3 linked regions of the Lytechinus pictus genome follow. The protein of the gene in region 3 interacts with the protein of the main gene of each other region in a pairwise test. Links are inferred from orthologs where the notes say so. Each region holds a gene or a part of one and is shown on either strand. Other genes may lie near its edges.

Region 1 (7,377 bases), on a different chromosome or scaffold from region 3:
CTCCACCGTTTCTAGAAGTTCTTTTCTGTTAGTTCTATCCATTCCTGATCCTTTCTCACATCACAAGTAAGCACTGCAGGAAAACAAAATCATAGCACAGTAGAATCAAAGATACTACAAGGGGAAGATCGGACACTTCGGCAATTTTTCGAAACACTCCCAAACGCTCGATAAATGCTCATGGGGAAGGACGCCCACTGGCGTTGAGTAAGTAAACCATCGCTCATCAGCACGTAGCTGTGTATAAAACATATGGGGGAAATGAGAGAGGGGATTTTGGAGAGGGCTCAAGGGTTGCGCCTGGGAGTAATTCCACCTTTTACTACCCAGAAACCTCTGAAATATATTCACTCAATGAAAAAAATTCTAAAATGTAAAAATCGTCTATTCCTTCTCCCCTTCAGCATTCCCCTCATGTTTTGTACACAACCATCAATTATCCATACTATCACAGATTTGTATACGATGGTTCCCATTTCAGCGTATTGGGTAAACTAGTTTGCTCCGCTCGCTGAAATGGGAACCTGAGTGTGTAGAAAATTTTCCATAGATTTGTACACACTTGTTCCCATTTTGAAGAGTAGATAAAGACAGTTCATTAATGAGATTGATTACATCAGTGATGAATAAATCTTACTACTAAACTGTCTTTATCTACTCGTGTAAACGGGAGCACGTGTGGACAACTCTGTACAATTTCATGGGTTTTCCATAGCTGGTTCCCACTTTGAAGAGTAGATATATAGAGAGTTTATTAAAATGATTTATCCCCTTATATATCTTGTCTGTGGTTTAGTTAGAGAATCGATTCTGAAATCATTTTTTGGTTAACTTTGCGAAAGTGGTAGAGTGGTCTTGAAGAGCAAGGAAATGCAGGGTAGAATAGACGGATTAATGACAAATTACAATTCCATATTTGGTTAATAAAACCATGCATGGAATCATCAAATTCATCTGAAAATTGCCCATCCATGAAAATGTGAGCCCTACAAATATCGCGCAAGGAAAGACATGAAAGAAGGAACCAGTTGTGTGAAGGAGAGCTTCGCATCGTAAACAAAGCATTTAGCATCAATTTCTTTTGAAAATCGTTCCAAGGTGTGAAGGCTGAAGTGAGGATTCTTTCAAGTTTAAAGTTCAATGTTTTGAAATAGGTATAGGCTAGGCCAAAGTCTAAATTACTTATCGTGCTGAAAAGTGAAACTGAATAAAAAATTTGATTTGGCGGCTTTTTTGCCACAAAACGTAGAATTCAATGTCAATGGCCTAAGTAAGTTAACTCTAGCTCTTCAACGTCATCACATTCACACTAACAACAGGCCATACTGCTAATTTAGGAAGCTAAAGTTATCATGGTTATTGAGCTGGATAATGACTAGACAGGAGTAAACGTCGTTACAGGGGATTTATTTAACAATTTCTGATTTATGTATTGGAGAGTGGAGCCAACGTAGTTCAGCGGAACAACCAAATACACAGACTGAAGCTTTTGGTCTAGATAATGACTAGACCAAAAGCTTCGGTCTCTGTTATGTTGGTTGTTCTGCTGAACTCCGTTGGCTCCACTCCCCGGGGGGGCCACTTCCATTGACGAGTGGATACCATGCACGACCATGGGGTCTCGAAAAGCACCCTAAACACGTATTTTAATTTTTCTGAAAATGCATCCCTTAACAAGTATTGGCGTGTGTAACCATACCCTTAACAAGTATTGGAAACAAAACGATACTCTTGGCAAGTTCCCTGAATTGACCCCCTAAACAAGGACAGCGATATTTTTATTTTTCATTGTTATGTCACGGACGTCAGTCGTCGGCCTACCTTCACCCACATCATTGGGTTTAGTACAGCCCCACCTTCCACATCTCGCCCAAATCGTACTCTAAACACGTAGTACGTGTTGACTCTTGGGGCAATAGTACATCCTTTATAAAACATTTTAGTATTAATTTTTTACACCCTCGCAAATTTGACCCTAATTAAACGCGTAGCTTTCCTAGCGAAAATAGATACCCTTTTTTCATCATTTTAGTGTTTTTGACACCCTTATCACGTTACGTACGTAACGTGCCCTATCTTGAAAAAGACATCCTTTTTACGTGTTTTTTTTGTCGCGCATGGTATCCACTCGTCAATGTAAGTGGCCCCCCCGGGCTCCACTCACCAATGAATTACAGAGACCGAAGTTCTAACTCGATCTGTACAGGGACTCAATCATAATAATGGCCTTATGTTATGTTTATGTATTAAGTTCGGATCAACCAGATAAGTTGGAGTTGCACGACAGCTGAAGTAAAATTTAACTAAAAAGTCAATGTTTGTTCCCCTTTTTCTGTTTATTTTTTCCCCGTTTTGGTGCGTTTCAGGCCAAAACGGAATAATAATCTTTATTTTGGTCCAGTTCTCTTTATTCATTTTTATTATGAAATAAAGAAAAAAATCGATGAGCCCCGTCGAGGCCGGGATTTTGCATTGTAAATAAGTTTGTAAACCCCCTGGTGGCTGCACGATAGCTCGATAGCAAGCCGTCTGTGTATGAGAAATATAAAAAATGTTTAAAGACTCCTCGAAACAGACGGCTGCCAGCTGTCAAGATAATGACGTGACTGCGCTTCACTTGACTCCGCAGCGCAGAAGATCGCGTCGCGCAGCAGTGGCCAGTGCCATTGCATTGACTGGTGGAAATGCCACGGGACGGGCTCGGTTCGTCACCAGCAGCAGATGCCGCGCCATCGGCTCCAGCTCCATCACAATCACATCAGCTCAATCAGGTTCGGAAGAGAGAGCCCGGGAAGTGAGGTGATTACCCGGGCTATTTTTGATCGGGCTAGTCATGAACATAATGAAATACCGGTCTGTCATCAATTTGTTTGAAAAAATACTAAATTACTAGTTAGATTACTACATAATTGTTCCGAATTAATACTTACTGGGGCTTTTAGACTGCAGTATCTTTTTCCTAGATATGATGCGTCAACTGCAACGTTAACGACAACGTCACATTTTGTATGGGAAGCCACTGCACTCTTAGCTTCGATGTATGACAAGCTGATATACCACAATGTTTTCGTTTTCTTTGTCATGATTTCCCTCATCATGCTCATGGGCTTAATAAGTTCTTTTTGTCTAGAAATCAGGATATCATATGAGTATACAATGAATTCCAGTCACAAATTTCTATATTATCTTTAATCCTGTTAAGGTTAATCTTTTTTTTTTTTTTAGTAGGACAGTTTTTTTTTTTCTATCTCTACTTCCTGGTTTTCCATTTCTCTCCGTGCAATGAATACAAGGAAAATTTTTACTTTCAGTTTAACCCCTTCCCCGCCCCCCCCCCCCTCGCACACCCGGTCATCCTTAAACATAATGCTTGTTCCAGACTGTTAGACCTACCCCTTCCACGGTGGAATAAGTTTATTATTATTATTATTATTATTATTATTGAATGGTTTATTTATTTCAAATATTCACTGAAAATAGCAGCCAAAGGCTGAATTACATTCAGTTTACAAAATAATGGTATACAGACATTGGAATAAAATAGGCAAATATCAAAATATAATTATTCTACAAAATAAATATACATAAATATGAAAGTAATTGAAATACCCAGCATATGAGAAGAAAGCCTCAGAGAATAAAGTACACTGTGGTAGTGAGAACATATGTTAGAACGCAAGACAAAATGAAATAAGAGGAAGAGAGGGAGACAGGAACAAAGTTAAAGAGATTGGGTATTTAACAAAGATGGAAAAAAAATATCGGAAATAGTCATTATAATGCAACAAATGAAAAACTAAGGAAGAAACAAATTAAATTGGAATACATGTTTCTAAATCAGTGCAACGAAAGGAATTCAGAACAGTTCAATAATTACGGAAAATTACATCTTGAATAACATATAATTTAGCATTGTTTTGACATTCAAGTACTGTTTATGCAGGAAATAAGTATGAAATTATCCAGGTAGGTATGATTTGTCATTATGAAATAATATTTTGTCATAAAGGAGTATTTGGTTTAAAAAAAAATACATGAGTAGTTTTATTAAAAGAGGATATATAAAATAGATGAGTTCTATAGGAAATAATTACTTGTATTTACCTATGTATAAATCAAAATAAACAAAATATGAATATCAAATGTAATTAAGTTACAATAGAAACATTTTGGGAACAGCCAGTGGAAACATTCAGTTGGGTGTGTAAATGATTATAATAATATTTATTCAATATATTTACAAGATATGGGATTGACTGTCTCTTAATCTGTTTGTCCTGAATCTAAGTTATGTGTATGGGGTGGTCTAGAATGCCTTGTTGATCGAAGTTCAGTGTTTTTGTTTACCCTAGCTATCACATGTTTTGGGGAATTGGGAAACCATGCAGGGAGCAAGGTCATCATTCAATACGACAACTTACTGACAACTTTTCTTAATTTCGATTGGCTGAGAAGCACAGTTCCCATAGTAACTGTCGGATAAAACAGGAGAGTGTTTCATGAAAGGACCTGTCAGACTCAGAATTTTTTTTTCGAAAAGTCAAATTTTATCCGACATTTAGCATTTCGTAACAGTTCTTTTCAGCCGATCAAATTCAAGTCGGATACTATCGTCCGACAGGCGGCAAGTTCTTTCATGAAACGCGGGCGTCTTGAGATATAGGGAGCGGAATTGGGAAATTTCTCGGGGGAACAGTGCCCCCGACCTAAAGGCTTACCCACCTGCATGCATTTTGCAATTTAGATGGGGATTATGACGTCATCTCAATAAAATAGTAAAAATAATAATTATGTCAGTGAATCTTTTTACTATAGGGATCCCTATTACCTCTCGAGCGAGTCATTTTCGATTTCTATATAGGCCTATAAAACATTTTCGAAATGTTTTCGCGCTGCCCCTCCCTCTAAGGCACGCTAGCGCATATGGAGATCAAAATTTATTTAAAACATAAAAACATTAATCTATGTAATGTATTTAAAAAAAGCGAAAAAATCGGTTCACAGAGAATACATATTTTGTTAGAAAGTTAATGTGAATGAAAAGAATAACAATCAAACAACCTCGCTAAAAATTTCATTTAAAAAACGGATGTGAGAAGGGAAATTTCGACGTATTAAACTTTTGCTTAAGTTCCCAAAACAGTTATTGTAGTCAATATGCAAATGCGGATAACGTCACTCACTCACTATTTATTTTGCATATTACATGAAATCCTTTCATCGTTTCATGATGAATTAAAGTTTGATTCTTCCCTGATGTCAATTTTCCATTTCAGCAACTTATTTTGAAACAGATACTTCCTCAGATCTTCTTCATATAACAAAATGCAAAAGAAATTGAGTGCATGAATATTTAATTACCATCTTTCTCATTTGCATACTCTTTTATGTTGTTTTGCAAAGCTTTAAAATGCAATATAACTTGCTTATTTTACATCCGATTTCAATGATTTTTTTCCCTGCATGTTTACGCATATATGATACTTCATGACTTAAAATTTGCTTAAAAATCCCTCCTCCTCGAATCGAATGTGTGAAATTTTAATCTTAATTGGATTTTGCAAATTGCCCTTAAGTCAAAGGGTACTATAGCAATTAAGACCCGCCGTTGTTACGTGTAAAGCCTAACCGATTCTAAAGATTTAAATTGGACTATAATTAATTGGGAATAGTGTAGTGTCTATTGCTTCTAATCAGTAAACTTATAAAAAATGAAACGTACAATGTATATCTGAATTAATAGGCGTGATATTCTTTGTTCAGCAATAAGCGATAAATGCCACCATCGATTACGTCACAATAGCAGGACGATGGTCAGCTGCTGACCATGACCATGGATTTTCACTAAATTCCGTGACCATGACCTGTAAGACATACACAATAGCGAGTGGCATCATCATTGGGGATGGCGACAATAAACAAAATCCGTTGAATAGGCCTATGGCGCATCTGTATGAATAGGGTTGTTTGAGCGCGAAACGCACAATGAAATTATGTACCATTCAGACTCGAGAGGATATTGTAAATTTTTGTTGTCATGAACAGGATGCGTATGTATCTCAGGGGCCGCGGAACGGTTTTGAAAGTGGGGGGGCTGAGTGCTGACCATGCTAAAAATCACAATCATATGGTCATTTTTACGTTTTTGTACACGGTTTTGGAAAAAAGTGGGGGGGGGGGGGGCTGAAGCCCCTCCAGCCCCCCCCCCGGCCCCTGTATCTTAACATATAACGCGAGCGTCAATCGAAACTGTAATAATTTGTATACTGACCCGAAGAAGTGTTTATAGGATGTTCAATTATTTATTTAAATGTAAGCTGATTTTCTATTTTTAATCCAACCACCCCAGTAATCGGACACTAAAACTTGATGTAAAAACTTGATGACTGACTGGAATCCCCGCACCAAACTACTGATATCTAATTTATTACTTTGTATTCTTGCTTTTTAATATTTATTTTTCCTTTTACTATTTTATCATTTATTTTTAGGAATGGGCTAAGAATTTCAGGACATACATGCAATCTTGTTTATAGATTTTTAAAAAGGCAATCACTAATTTGTTAAGGCTCGATCTTTTACTTATGGAAATGGATATGGGGCACTAAAAATCATCAAACGAAAAATTCAAATCTAATGATCAGTAGATGAAATATAAATTCAAGATATTAAACTTTATAAGATCTGAATTTTTGAGGTATTCCCTTATAATTCACATTAAAGAACTTTTACCAAGGCTTCTGACAGGCTTTGAACTTGACCACATATATGTACAGTGCAATCCGTCTATAGTGATCACCCATGGGAAAGACAAAATAACACTTTTTATGGACAGGTGGTTGCTATAGACAGGTTCAAATCCTCATAACTTGCCTCAGTGGGAATCACTTTGGGTTGTCACTATAGGCAGGTGGCTGCTAAATAGAGAAGTTATTATTATTTGTTTGGCGTCACCTGTGCCTGGGAGGCGACAAGGGAACTGAATCACTGTGACCCGCAGGTCTCTCCTCCCGATATAACTGATTGGGGGGATTGCAGGTGGACCACTACACCGCGGTTTCCCCCTACTCTTATACGAATAGTACAATGGGTTCTTAACGTGCAAAGGTGGCGACTCTCCTCTACACGGGGCCTCCATTTAATGTCCTAACTGAGGGACGGAGTGTTTTCTATTGTAATATAGCCTGCGTCTATGAAACATGGGAGAGACGTTTACACACAACGCACTGGCTTCGGTCATCCGCCCGGGGTGGACTCGAACCCACGATCTTTGGTTCAACGGGCAGACGCGTTACAGACTGAGCCAACAAAGATGAGGTGGCTGCTGACACCAGGTTTTATGTGTTTGTGCACACACTTACAGGCCTTTATATCAAA
Region 2 (7,497 bases), on a different chromosome or scaffold from region 3:
ACGCGTTAGCGTTTGCATGCAGATTAGCATTCATGCATAGCTTACACTTATTTCAGGCTCATACTGGCACTTATAACCACACTTTATATTTCAGGCTCATTTCCATCAGTCCAAGATGCCAATTATCCCGCTATTCCAGATCTAGAAAATTATGCTGATCAGGGGAGCGTTTCATAAATGAGCTTGTCAGACGTTTTATCTGAAAGTTACCATAGTAACAGTGCTTCTCAGCCAATCAAAATCAATAAAAGTTGTCAGATCCAACAACTTGTTGGACAAAAACGTTAATGAAATGCTCTCCAGAACTACCAGCTTCTTGAGATAATGTTCCCTTCAAAGGTTGATTTCCATTAGGAACGTTTGTCAAAATCTGGATATTTCAACTTCATTTCGTGCAATCAAGACTTCACTTTTCCTTGCCATATTCCGCCCTTTGTCGAGCCCTCCCTGGGTGAAGGGTGGCAAATGTAGAAACTTACCTGCGCTTTTAGCTGGGCCTCCTTCACCATCGATTCCCGCTGAAGTGAGCCTGTCTCCTTCTGTGCAGCATCCAACCTGCTCTTCAAGTCAGAGATTTCATTTCTGAGTTGAGTCTGGGCCGAATCCGCTCTGCTCAAGCTACTCCGATGCTCCTCCGTGTCTTCCGAAATCTTTGTGTTGAGATGCTCGATCTGCAGGATCCAACAAAAAAACATAAGGTGTGGGACTACTTGAGAAATAGCACTGGTTTATTTTCAATTGATCTGATACCAATCACCAACTCGTCTACTATCATTTTGCCTACCAAAAGTTCGTCCACTATCCACATGGTCTCACTGCCATTTCGTCCACTCACCATTATGTCTAATAACCAGTTGGTTCAATAGCCATTAAATAGTCCACATACCATTTGGTCTAATTGGACTAAGTGATAATTGGGAAAAATTAATGAAAATAAAATGGGTATTACTATTAGATCAACTAGTTATGAGACAAAATGGTCATAGATGAACTGGTGATTAGACAAAGTGATGATTGGACCAAATGGTTATTGGACTACATGGCTGATAGACAAAATGTTAATGGACGGAATGGCATTAGACTAATGTAGGTAGACCATGTGATGAGTGGATGAGTTTGCAATGGACAAATTGGCAATCTACCTTAGCATTTAATACTTCTCAATCATAGGATTGTGACATGTTTGCCAGTTGCTGCAATGTTGAGCATTGTCTCTCTCTCTCTCTCTCTCTCACTAAGTAACCTCAGCGTCAATTCAGGAAGCTTGTCAGCACTGCCATGTTGTCATTGTCTGATAGTTACATGTACCAGTGTAACAGTCAAATCAAGAGCATGTCGGCCAATCTCAACCAAAAAAAGCTCTCAGCTGATGACATACAGCAGTTCTTCCAGCATGCAGGATGAAATGGCTGATGAAACATATATGACAACACAAGCGCATTGACTTTGTTTTGATCCTAGGTCATTGGATTTCGAAACCCTGCAAAAATCCTACCTTGGGTTATCAGGGAAAAAAATAAACAATGCAGAGGAATAGAATTTCTATAGAGCCAAGTTTTAAAGCCTTTAGATAACTTGGTTCTGTCGTCAACTGTTCATGGTCGAGTGGTTAAAGGTACCGGTGTGTTGGCTCAGTTGGTAGAGTGTCCATCTCACAATCGGGAGGTCAGGAGATCAAACCCAGGCCGCGTAAGACCAAAAGACATTAAAGGATGGGGGGTTGCTGCTACCCTGTTTGGCGTTCAACGATTTAAGGGATAGAGAAACGTTGATCTGAATATGCAAATTAACAGCCTATGATAATGGTAAGTACGATCACCCACCTGGTTTTCTAGACTGCTAATTTTTTCGCTGGATTCGGTTCTGTCAGCTGCAAGTTCTTTTCTGGTTTCTTCCACTTTTTGTTCAAGGTTGTCTCTCTGAGAAATGTAAAAAAGGGAACAGAGTCACCAATTTTCTCCTTGAGGGTTTTCCAATCCCATCACAGCACTTGTATCCCTCTGCAAGGTGTTCATCTACAGCTGTGCTCAAAAGTGAGTGAACCCCACCACAAAATGCTTTCCTTCATGCCGAGTGTTAAATGTAAACAACAACACACTAATGTTCGGCAAGCCCAGAGAAACAAACTTAAATGAATGTAATATTTTATCACCTTACTTCACAAGTAAATATCATAAACATGGAAGAACTTGTACACTTTAAGCATGTTCAGTTTCTGGTGGGGTTCACTAACTTTTGAGCACCACTGTACTCGCGAGTGCCCAGCTAAAGATGGGGTAGTAATATTATCATGCTCAGTAGGGCCCAATGGCAGAACAATTTTTAGACTGAAGTGGCTACCCTGGGTAAGTATGATGTTATTATTTTCATTATTTCATAATGAACAGATTGCCTAAACCACAGCAAAAGGGCAATTCACATGTGAAAAAACAACAACAATACAACTACATTAGTGGCCCATTTCATAGAAACATAATATAATAATGTCACTTTGCCATTTTCCAGCTACCATGGTTTCAAACTACAAACGTGAAATTACATGTACCTTTGTGAATACAAGCTATAATAAGGTCAGTCACTATGACTGATTAACCTAGACGTTACATGTTTCCTATAGGTAATTGGTTATATACCAGCTTGGCGTTTACCAGCAAAATGCTGTTCTGCCGAGTTCCTTCAGGAGTTACCATGAACAGAACAGAGCAAGATTTTTACGTGGAGGGCCAAAAATAATTTCATATTTTAATGAAAAGATATCTCTTAATAATGATATTATGATTTTTTTTTTTACCTCTGACTGGATGGCTTTGATATGATCATCTTGCGACAGGTCATTGTCCTGTAATCTTTGTTCTAAGGTCACCACTTTCTCTCTCAGATGACCGAGCTCGGATTCTTTATCAGCAACGTCTTTCTTGGCCTGGAAGGTAATGGTCAGATTATTAAGAGATTGAAATTAAGGGGTAATAGATTAAGAGCAAAAAAGATGTAACAATTTTTCAATATTATATAAATAAGTATTTTGTAAAACATCTACAGACAACACAGTGTACATGAATGGGTTAATTTTAGGTATTGGGTATTCTTGGCAAGGTTTCTAGAAAGTTGCTACATGTAGCCCTGACAAGTTGTCATTCTCATGTGCTACAGGAACCACTGTAGACCAGGGCCCCATAACACGAAGGTTAGCGATTAATCACTAATTCTTATTAATTAATTAATCACTATTTGGTTTCTAGTCAGTCTACTGAGCAAAATGCGCATGCAACAATGATCTTGATAGGACATTTCATTTAGCGATTAGTCGCAAACCTTTGCATTACGGGGTCCAGGGCCCGTAACACAAAGATTAGCATTGATCGTAGAACATATTTCTACGATTGATTCCATTGACTACAATGTACAATCAATCGTAGAAATCAAGCATACGATTAATCGCTAACCTTTGTGTTACAGGGTCCAGGACAGCGTTTGATGAAGAGCTCTGTCAGTATTTTCACTGACAATTTATTGTTAAAAGCTACTGGAAACCTTTGTATCTGATTGGCTAAGAGCGAATTAGTCAGTGACAAAATCACTGACAAATCTCTTCATGAAACACTCACTTGCGCATCGAAAAATTTCCAAAATGCCATGTACATGAATCTACTGTATCAACCATACAGATACAACTGTACATAGCACATACATACATGTACAAGCTAGTACAGATACAGTTCTGTTGTATATTTCATGTGCAATACATGTATGCTACTTGTATGGAGGTCCGGAATGGCAATTCCTATAATTGGAATATCTGAGAAGGCAGAAGGTTGATGGTTCCACCAGTCACTTGAGAAACAAATCCCAGGCCCCGTCTTACAAAGAGTTGCAAATCCAATCAATTGCAACTATGGAAAGCCAGCAAAGTCAACATATATAAAATGCATGTTTATTAAAAAAAAAATCTAGATATGAATGTATATCCATAAATTCATAAATTTCTTGACAATTTGGTGTGATCTCCTTTGTTTACAAAGGACATTGTGCAAATTTCCTGTAGACAAAAGTATGACACTGATGGATTTCCATAGAGTTACGATTGATTGGATCAATCGCAACTCTTTGTAAGATGCGGCCCTGATATCTCAAATTTTGTTGGAAGTCCTTTTTTAATCACGATTTGATAATCTGTCAATATCCCATTCACATGGGAGGGAATACAATTATTAGACTGAAGTTTTAGGCTGTAAAATGACCCTCTATTGTACATTGTATTTCAAAATTTCATCAGAAGAGAAGTACATGTAATTGTCCATTTATTCTTTAATACGTTTATCCATCGTACGTTAACAGATGGGAGTCGCTGCAACCGTTTTGCGTTCTACTATATACACTCGGCAAAAAAAGTTCTTGGACACTTATAAAAGTTAAAATATTCCATATAGATATTTGATTAAAGGCAAATTATTGTATGTCAACATGACCAGACAATATTCCTCTTCCAGTATGACATGACATTTTCAGGTGAACAGTCATGCATGGGTGGTTAAATGCTTAAATAGCAATGTCAGTAAAAGAAAATTGCAAGAAATGGATCAGTCAGTGCATGGCTGGTTACAGGCATTAAACAATAGCAATGTCAGTAAAAGAAAATTGCAAGAAAACGATCAGACATTCTTTCAGTTGTGAAAGTTTGTGTGGCATAAATATCCATTAAACGAATAAAAGCAAACTTAAAGTCAAATACCACTCTAAAAGTGAAGAGAAAGTTATCCACCTTGGATGCATCACTATTCCACTGGAATTTTAAGTCAAAGCTAGTCGATGAAAAAAATGTCAAATTTCAGTATCTTGGCATAAGTAAAAGAAAATTATCCTTATCCTCCTATCTTCTGCAGGGGTGGTGGCCCTAGGTCGACCACTCCTAGGGCGGTCTCTAACTTTATCAGGAGCCAAATACCGCTGGTTCAAATTTGAAATTGTTGTTGGTGAAACTTGGAAATATCAAGCCACTTGTCTAAATGACTGCCCAGACTGCAACATTCCTATTGCTATTGCACGCTCTTGGTTGGAAAGCTTCATCTTGAAAGTGAGTGTCCAAATGATCCATCTCATTATGCATCTCATGATGCATCCCTAAGCATTCAATTCAAATGATAACCACCTGTTGAAATTGTTGAATGTATGCCTACAGGATGGCCATGATCATTAGCATTTGATTGGTCCATTTCTTGCAATTTTCTTTTACTGGCATTGCTATTGTTTAAAGCATTTAACCACCCATGCGTGACTGTTCACATGAAAATGTCATGTCGTACTGGAAGAGGAATATTGTCTGGTGATGTTGACATACATGTACAATAATTTGCCTTTAATCAAATATCTATATGGAATATTTTAACTTTTATAAGTGTCCAAGAACTTTTTTTGCAGAGTGTACATGTATAAGGGATACATGTAGAGAATCAGGGACAACTCGGACCGCGGGCCGAGTTGTCCCACCCATTACGAGATTTTTTTTCTCACAAATTTGCGTCTATTTTTCCGTCATTTCGTAATTTCTTGTAAAGATTTTCTAGAGATATGGTCTGATGGTAATGTTCTTCACTTTCTATTGCTTTTTTTTTCGCTGAAATAAAAAAAAAGTGTAATTTTAGGCGTTTTTCGACAGCTCGCGATTCCCATAGGCGCGCGTGTATTAACTGTGTCGGTGCTCGGCTCGGCCTCGCTCAACAACTGACTTGATTTTGTGATCATTTCTCCTCAAGTTACCACTTTTATCGCAGGAGATGGACATTATTGTATTCCATTAACTCCATTTTCTCATCACAAGAATAAAATTTGGTGCATTTGCACGATTTTGTTAAAGTTTTTCACCTTTTCTCTCTGGTCGCAAGAAGCGAACAACCGATGAACGGTCCGCTGCTCTTCATCGCAATTCTACGTAGCTCGGCCGCCTAAACTGGCGGGGTGGGATTCAGCCCGAATCCTCAATGGAAGTGGGCGTGCACAGTCAAAGAGCTGAGCTTGACTGAGTGAGAGAGTGAACTAGAGCTTGAAGCTTGGCAGTGTCGTATATACAGTGCGTCCCAAAAAAAACTATACACTTTTGAAATGGCTGCCAAATATAAAGTGTATCACTTTGGGGGAAAAGACTTACATATATGGAAAGCCAATAAAGTCAACTTTCAAATGACACCAAAAAGTTGGAAAATTATTCATGCTTGAGCGAGCACTGCCCACTGAAACAAAGGGTATGAAAATTAGGGTGGGCTGGAATTAGCCTTCCAATTTCTTTCAGGTGTTTTCGTTTGGTACTTGCAAAGTTGAGGGTTATTTGGTGAATTAAAGATCAGTTGTGATCAGTTTGTTGTTTGTGAAAATTTTATGCGTTATTAAATTGAAATTTAATGCATGAGTGATCATGAATTGCAATTTTTAGTGCAGCATTTTGTCTTTATCATGCGGATCTCAGCAATGTGTTCATGAGAGTCAGGAGAACAGGGGGTAAGATAAGACATAAGCAGGTGAAATACGTTGATGGGATAAAAGTCAACAAAACATTTAGCAACCCCTGAGCCCTCTCTCCATTCCATCTCAACCCCCCCCCACCCCCCCCCCCCCCCCCCCCCCGCTTCCCTCCTCCTGAGAGACTAAGCTCGGCTAGGCTGGGCAGGAATTAGCCTTACAGTTTTTTGAGTGGTTAGTCCTTTGGTACTTGCAAAGCTAAGGGTGTTAAGCTAGATTAATGAGTAAGATAAGTTTTGTTTTCTTAGGCAAATTTCACGAGTTACTAAATTGAAATGTAATGCATGAGTGAACAAGAATTGTAATTTTAGTGTAGCATATTCATCTTGTGGACCTCAGAAGTGTGTTCGTGAGAGTCAGAGTAATGTGATGGTACCTGTTACAAGCAAGAGGGCGAGATATGCTGAGACTTGGTTCAAAGAAAAGGGCATTCCTCTTCTTTTTGTCCTTTTACAAATTTAAAGTCATATGTACCCTCCCCTCTCCACCTCCATTTTCAAGCCCCCCCCCCCATTCTCTCTCTCTGTCTCACTTCCTGGATTGTAGCCTATTCAAATATTAACTGCCAAGTGACCGGTGGCTGATGGTCATTTTTTTATTGAATCATAGAAATTTAATGATTATGATGATTAATGAAATAATTTATTGAAAAAACTGAATGTTTGATTGATCTCATTGATTTACTAATAAATTGTTGATTAAATGATTAATAGGAAAAAGTTGATGCCCCAATTCAGAATTTATCATTAAATCAACATTCTGCTCTGGACTTCACGCGTACATGACAATAGCCATCAGTCTCTCAACAGGAGGGGAGGGCGTGAAAGAGGGAGGGGGCGGGGGCTCCATGATATGTTGACCCTTATTCCATCAACCTGCTTCTCCCACTTAAGTCCTATCTCACCCCCTATTCTCCCGACTCCCATGAACACATTGCTGAGATCCACAATTTTGATAAAGTTCAAATGCTACCCAAAAAGAGATAAA
Region 3 (7,183 bases):
AAAATCTGATCAAAATTGGACAAAGAATAACAAAGTTATGGTATTTTCCAGATTTGCATCTTTCATGTCTTTATGAATATTCAATGAGCTAACAGATGACTGCATAACACCACTTATTCTTTTGTATTTTCTTACGTGTCATTTTTAAAATTATTATTATTATTGATCATCAGATTTTGATGAAATTTTCAGCATGTTGCTCTGCTCTGTGAATTTTACTCAATTAATCTATATAAATATTTTCAGCCCAGAGTACCCCTTTAAGCTCTTTGAGTTTGATGGAATAAGGTAGATTCTAAATTGAGAACAGGAGAAATATGCCAGCAAGTGGTTAATTTGAATATAGGAAGCCACCAGTCGTGCCTTGTTGTTGATTTTCCAGTGGAAATCGCAAAATGGTTTCCAATTTCACGATAATGCCTAATAATGATTACCAATAGCATAATACCATGATTCATTCGGTGCTAATGCAGTTTCGTATCGGCCAACTTTGAGCAAATTTCCCCACCAGACCCGTTGCATATAACTTTTGGCGCACAGCAAGCCTTGAAATAAGCCGGCGCTGAGCGCAAATTCGCGCTCATAAAGCCATCAATTGCGCCCATAAAGCCCCCAAATCATCAAAATTTTGACGGCCGGATGCAAATATTTTCCAGGTAATTGCGCCCATCGTGAGTGAGCAGTGAAGCCATTTCATACATGTAATTTAAATATCTGAAAAGCCAAAATCAAGTAACTTTCAATTTACGATAAGCACAGTTTCAAATTGCCAAGTGCATCTTTTTTTCTGTACCATAAAAATTGAGCTACGTCCGTCTTTTTTTTTCTGTAATACATGTGCGCGCGTGATTCCGGTAGCGGTGACAGTTTTTCCATACTTCACCATGTGCAATTTCTAATGCACACATTTCCAGTTGGGATATCACAATTCTGTGATATAGTAATTCGAATTGCACAGGAGATAAATCCCTGTTCACAGCACATACGATGTACGAGTCTTTTATCCTCACAGTCGCCGACTTTGCTTGTCAAAACGGAGCCTTAATAATCCAAAATTACTTAGCTTATAGTTGTGAATTATTCCGTTTCAGATAGAGTTTAGATTTCATGTTAATTTTTGAAAACTGTCAAAAAACTTAATGATTTCTTCATTGTGATGAATATTTAAGTTATTAATGAATACATTTTCACAGAATTTAGACTCCCAGAATGAAAGGCATTTTTCTGTGGAGATCTGCATTTTCAAATAACTTGTGAAAAACTTAAGGTACATGAACCTACAATACATGTACATAGCCTGTGCCTGTGTGCTGGAATTTGAATAGACTGAGTTAGATATTGATTTCATTTCTTTATTTCTTTAACATAATTTATATGCAATCCAGATGCACCTCACAGTCACAATCACACACAAACACTCACCCACACCCGTGATTCTAACCATGAAAAAAACCTTAAAATTTGTATATTTTTTTCTAAATTTATTATTATTTGATCTGAATTCTCTCTTTCTCCATCTCCCTCTCTCTCTCTTTTTATATTTTTATTTTATTCATTTATTTAGATTTTTTTTTTTGGGGGGGGGGTTCATTGTTCGTGGTTCATTAAAGATGAAAAATAAATAAGCCCATGTGTGTGTGGTTGTGAAGGGGATGTGGAGTGAGGGTGTCAAAACACACTTAAACATTTAAATCTGATTTCTTAAATGTTTGAATAAGCCTATTACTTAGCATGCTATTCATGTACTAATTAAAAAATTGCAGGAGCTGCGCTTACTATAAACAAATTTGCAGTGTGGTTCACCGTTATATATTTTTTTTTTTAATTGCCCCTGGTTCCAGAAAATTGCCCCCGGTTCCTGTAAAAAGCCCGTGAGCCGGGGGCAATTTTTTTGAAAAATTGCCCCTGGTCTGCAACTGCTTATTTCAAGGCTTGGCGCACAGGAATATCAAGGCACAGCGCATGCAACACTTCCATGGGATTGCGGGAATGTGCGAATTGTTTATTAGATTTTAAATAAAATCAGTTTTCTATGAAACTTAACTTACCTAACGATATGTAGCAACTTTCCCCAAATATTTGTCATTTATACATGTACATTTAAGCACCGATTTTCTTCTCGTTGAAGAATGTTGGAGCTTACTCGCCGATTCCAATTTTTGTCTTCCCCAACGTTACGCGACGCTCGTGTCCGTAACGTTGGGGAAGTACAATAAGAAACAAGATGGCGGCGTAAACATCGGGCAAGTCTCTTCCGTCTTTTCACAATATTTTTTCATTTTTTTGATGAATTCTTGTTTTAAAAATAACAACGAGAGCGTAGAAATGTCGGAAATTAAGTTTTATCCCATGTACATGATTTAGAGCTAGATCTTTTAGAAGGAAAGTAGAAATCTCGGGGGTGAAGGTTTCAGGTTTTGTCTGGCTCTGTGTGGGTCTATGAGATAGAAGGCCTGGCTTCGTACGAGAGTAACCTTACGTTACTCGTTAGTAAATGATTTTTACTCTCTAGAAGCCGCCTGGCTAGTCTCGGCCCTCGGGGGCGAAAGTTTCAGGTTTTTGGGCGGTGTGTGTAGATGTATGGGAAGCAATTCCAGGCTCCATTGCATTGAGGGTAAGCACACGTTATGATTTTTACTCTCTAGGAGCCTCCTGGCTAGGGTAGAGTTCCTGTGAGAAACTGCATTAGCGCCGCATCATTCATCTGTTACCCGGTACACGTATTATTTCTACATAGACATGCATTGGCAATGGCATTTGCGTTGGATACGATATCATACAGCACACGATCACGAAAAGGGGGCCGGGCGTCGCCAGTGCGATACCGGCAAACTTACCACTCTGCTCGCCAAGGAAAACAAGCTTGAATTTCCTCAAAGGATTGCTGAAATCTCCGGAGGAAGACATCCTAAGTTGTTAATTTGGGGTTCTGAAAAGATAACCTCTTAAAACGTTTTGAAATCAAGCAAAAACAAGATATTTGATGATCTTATCTCTTCTGGATTCTCGGAGGTATCTTCGCCACGTTATAGATTCTGAGGTGTTCGGCGCATGCGCACTTAATGGATGCGTCATCTCGGATTATAAAAAAAAATAACTATATCAAAAAATAAATAGAAGCATTCCTGAAATAAGGTGAAATAACAATGATTTAATAGCAAGCGATATTCAAGTTAGGTGTTTCCCGGCATTGTAATTGGGAAACTTCACATTTGAGGGCTTTCACAAGGAACACGGTCAAGAAACATGTTGTTTTTTTATTTGTAATTAAGCAACAACAACAAAAAAGAAAATTGAGAGACTAAAGATTAGAAAACCAAGGGATAGAAGAACTTCGGAGAAGAAGAAGAAGATGATGATGAAGAAAAAGAACTTGAAGAAGAAGAAGAAGTAGAAGAAGAAGAAGAAAGGGAAGAAGAAGAGATCGAAGAAGAAGATCAAAGAAGAAGAAGGAGGAGGAGAAGAAGAAGAAGAAAAAAAGAAGGAGGAGAAGAAAAAGGGGAGTGTATACTTAAAGTAAGAATTCGGACACAGAAAATAAACTTTGAAAATGCCTTATAATTAAACGAGCAAAATAATGAGGACTAAAGTATGATGATCATGTATGTATGTCAAGTTCATGCAGACCACAATCACTTACCATCCAGTAAGTGGGAATAGCACGCAGAACATCAGGCAAGTTGAATAATGGGGTTTATAATACTGCCAAATGGGGAAGGGGTGTAAAAAAAGTTTTATGGCCAACAAAAAATGCTCTTAGTTCAATTCATATCAACGATTATTTGATGCAAAGAGGGAAAGGAATGATTATGAATAATTGAAAAAATGAAATACTTAATATATTGTTACATGAGATTAAATCTTATTTCAAGTCGATAAATGGAAAAAATAGTTTAAAAATATGGGTTTTTAATCAACAATTCATGATATACCTTCTTATGTAAAGAAATTAGGGTGCTATAAGGTATTTGAGGCATTATTTTGTGATCAAAGGTTCTAGTGTAACCCTTGCAACAAGGCTATGACATACTATCGGGACCAAAATTATGTTATGAATTTATTGAGCGTCCGAGCGCGAGATTTCGTGTTTTTATAATTCACAATATTTAGCAGGTTTTATAATGCATTTTTGATACGGCTATTTGATGATAACACTACATATTTTCTTTCTCAAAAGTAAGGGGATACATAGGCCATCGCCATCGGGCGGTTACATTTACCGGAGTCTGGGATGGAGGGATATTCTGAGCTTACCTGTAAGAAGTCCCTCCCGATAGGGGGCCGGTGTAAGGTAGGAAAAGCCCGTGAAGGGGGGGGGGGGCAAATAGTTCGGAAGTCTGAGATACGGTGGTGTTCGAAGCCTTGAAGAAAGAGGGTTTTTTCAGGGGGAAGAACAGATTGGCCACAGTGGCACAGCCAATCTGAAACGGATTATCCGAAAATGAGTTTGTATTACATTCATTGTTCAAATATTGTTACATAATTATTATAATCGTTGACTTTGATCATGACTTTTATGCCCATTGTGTTTACACTGTATGTATTTTAATCGTGAATAAAATAAACTAACCATTCAAATGATTTTTTTAGATCAACAGAGCTTGGTGATATCATAGGCCTACATCAGCTTGAAATTCTTGATGAAATAGCGCCATCACGTGTTTGAAGAAAATCTGACAGATGGAGAAAGATCGATTACTATATATAAAAGGTCAAAATATTATATACAAATAGCCAAAGTTGTATTTTTAATGGAAGAGATTCTACAAGCTATTTTCATGTGGAAAGAGGGGTAAGGCAGGGAGATCCGCTTTCACCATATCTTTTCATTTTATACATAGAAGTATATTATAGCGCATAATATAAGATATAATAATGATGTTAAAGGAATTTCCTTTGGAAAGGAAGAAGTAAAACAGATTATGTATGCAGATGATATCTATTTTTGTCCGAGATCTAGATTCAGTCAAAAAAGTAATAAAAATTTTAGAAAAATTCAGAAAAGTATCAGGACTTAAAGTTAATAGCGATAAGACGAAGGTTTTATTATTAGGTTCCTCTGAAGGAAAATAATATGATTTATCTTTTGGCCAAAATGTGGATTTTATAAAGATTCTCGGTGTATTTTTTTCTTTAGATGTAGAAGTAAAAGAAAGATTGAATTATAAAGAAATATTAAGTAAAATAAAGAAGTTGTTAAACTGGTGGAAGTAACGAGATTTAACTTTGATGGGCAAAATACAATTATTAAAGCAATTTATATTTTTAAAATTCATATATGTGGCATCTCTCACACCAATCCCAGGATGGGTTTATGTTGTACTTGATCAGTTGGCTTTTACTTTTTTGTGGGGTGGCAGATTAACAAAAGATTAACAAAAGAATGATGTATTTAGATTACCATCAAGGCGGCTTGAAAATGATGAATTTTCAATGGTTAATAAAGGCACAGAGAGTTATGTGGATTAAAAGACTAAAAGAAAATAATGCAATGAAATGGAAACAATATTTCAATTATTCCACAAAACATCTGGGAGGAAATTTTATATTTTCATGCGATTACTTGCTCGGATTGATGGAGATAGCATTGCCGCAATTTTATATAGATTTGTTAAAAAGTATGGATAGAGACGAAGAATTAAAATCTAAAACATTTAAAGGAAATGAGATATGTTTTAACAATAATTTTTTTACGAATTGAAGGGAAATGCATATTTAACCAAAAAATATATGAAAAAAATATTTACAGATTGAAACATATGGATTATGATGGAAACTGAAGGTCATTTTCGTACTTCCGAAGACAGGGTTTAAACATAAATGATTTTCATTTGATAGAGTCAATTTATAAAACTTTTCCAGTCAGCTGGAAACGAAATATGAAAATAGATAGCAAAGAGGCTTCTTTTAGGGAAGAAATATCATTTATATCTGGAAAAAGAATTTTGTCAATAGAGGAGTTAGTATCTAAAAACGTTTATGCAAATTTTATGAAATGTAACTTCGCAATACCTGATGTTTTCGAAAGGTTAAAAAAACAAATATAGTTTTTCTTATGAAAAGATTGAACACATTTTTGTGAGACCAAGACAATGTACTCTGAACAGTAGATTAAGAGAGTTTCAGTTTAAAATGTTGCACGGCATTGCTTATACAAATTATCACTTGTTCCGTTTTAAATCTCACAGAATAATCTTTGTTGTTATTGTAAAAAAGAGGAGGAAACATATCGCCATCTATTTTTGGAATGTGAATATGCTTGTCTGGTTTGGGATAATTGTAAGGAGATGTTTGGTTTTATTTCTACGGGTAATTTAAGCTGGGAGGAAATTCTTGTAGGTGTAGAATTAAAGGACGAAGGAAAGGAACGTTTAGTCAATTATTTGTCAAATTTTTAATCTTCAAAGGGAGGGAAAAGGGTGCACTTATAACCATGGATGAAATTAAAAGGAAATTTAAAGAAGAAGAATGGGAAGAAAGAAGACTGGCGCTAGGTAGAGGTAAGATGTCTCTACATTTAAGGAAATGGGAAAATCTTAATTAAAAGAATGTATAGGGAGAGTGAGGCAAATGTATATATACAACGAGAGACAAAACCACAAAACAAAATAAACAAAAACACAGAAAAAAATAAAAAACAATACGGAGAATTGTAGTCCCTTCCATGTAGATTATAGGCATAAAAATGGGAGGGTGCTCCTAACCTGGGGACGGGGGGGGGGGGGGTTAGGAGGTAGAACAACACTTTTTATCTTTTTTCCCTCTCATATCATTTCACACATCTTGTTAACATTTCATTTTGTAATTGCTGAAACGCATTAGTATTAATTTCTAGTATCTTTGAAGTTTGATGTATAATTTGTATAATTATATTTGTTATGGATTTATTGTATAATTTTAATCATGTTTCAAATAGTTTGTACAACTTGCTTATGGAATGTGAATGTGTATTTTGATTTGAGAGAAGGCAATACAACATCCTTAAAAAAAGGAAAAGTACACTGTAAAAAAAAAATCTGAATCGGTAATTAACACTTAATGTAGAATTTACAATTTGTAATTATTTTTCGTTTTTTTAAGTAGTTTTAACTTGTCTTTTAATTTACTTGATTTACTTGATTTATTTGGGTTCAATATACATTAAAGAAAATTCACATATTGATAGCTTGCTTTGATTGAGTAA

The links.
Region 1: the proteins of ras-related protein Rab6-like (region 3) and GRIP and coiled-coil domain-containing protein 1-like interact in a two-hybrid assay, tested with the Drosophila melanogaster proteins (2 studies listed by BioGRID). The link is inferred for Lytechinus pictus from reciprocal best matches to the Drosophila melanogaster genes Rab6 and GCC88.
Region 2: the proteins of ras-related protein Rab6-like (region 3) and golgin subfamily A member 1-like interact in a two-hybrid assay, tested with the Drosophila melanogaster proteins (2 studies listed by BioGRID). The link is inferred for Lytechinus pictus from reciprocal best matches to the Drosophila melanogaster genes Rab6 and Golgin97.

What each region holds. Positions count from the first base shown.
Region 1 is NC_087253.1:17,720,137-17,727,513, forward strand, and holds the start of GRIP and coiled-coil domain-containing protein 1-like, read right to left. Parts: upstream 3,019-7,377; 5' UTR 2,931-3,018; intron 74-2,930; 5' UTR 43-73; coding exon 1-42.
Region 2 is NC_087259.1:7,939,354-7,946,850, reverse strand, and holds the start of golgin subfamily A member 1-like, read right to left. Parts: upstream 3,032-7,497; 5' UTR 2,792-3,031; intron 1,920-2,791; 5' UTR 1,824-1,919; intron 672-1,823; 5' UTR 510-671; coding exon 480-509; intron 1-479.
Region 3 is NC_087260.1:28,911,318-28,918,500, reverse strand, and holds the start of ras-related protein Rab6-like, read right to left. Parts: upstream 3,058-7,183; 5' UTR 2,908-3,057; coding exon 2,838-2,907; intron 1-2,837. UniProt on the Drosophila melanogaster protein: Protein transport. Regulator of membrane traffic from the Golgi apparatus towards the endoplasmic reticulum (ER). Mediates membrane trafficking during egg chamber growth and organization, possibly upstream of exocyst component Sec5.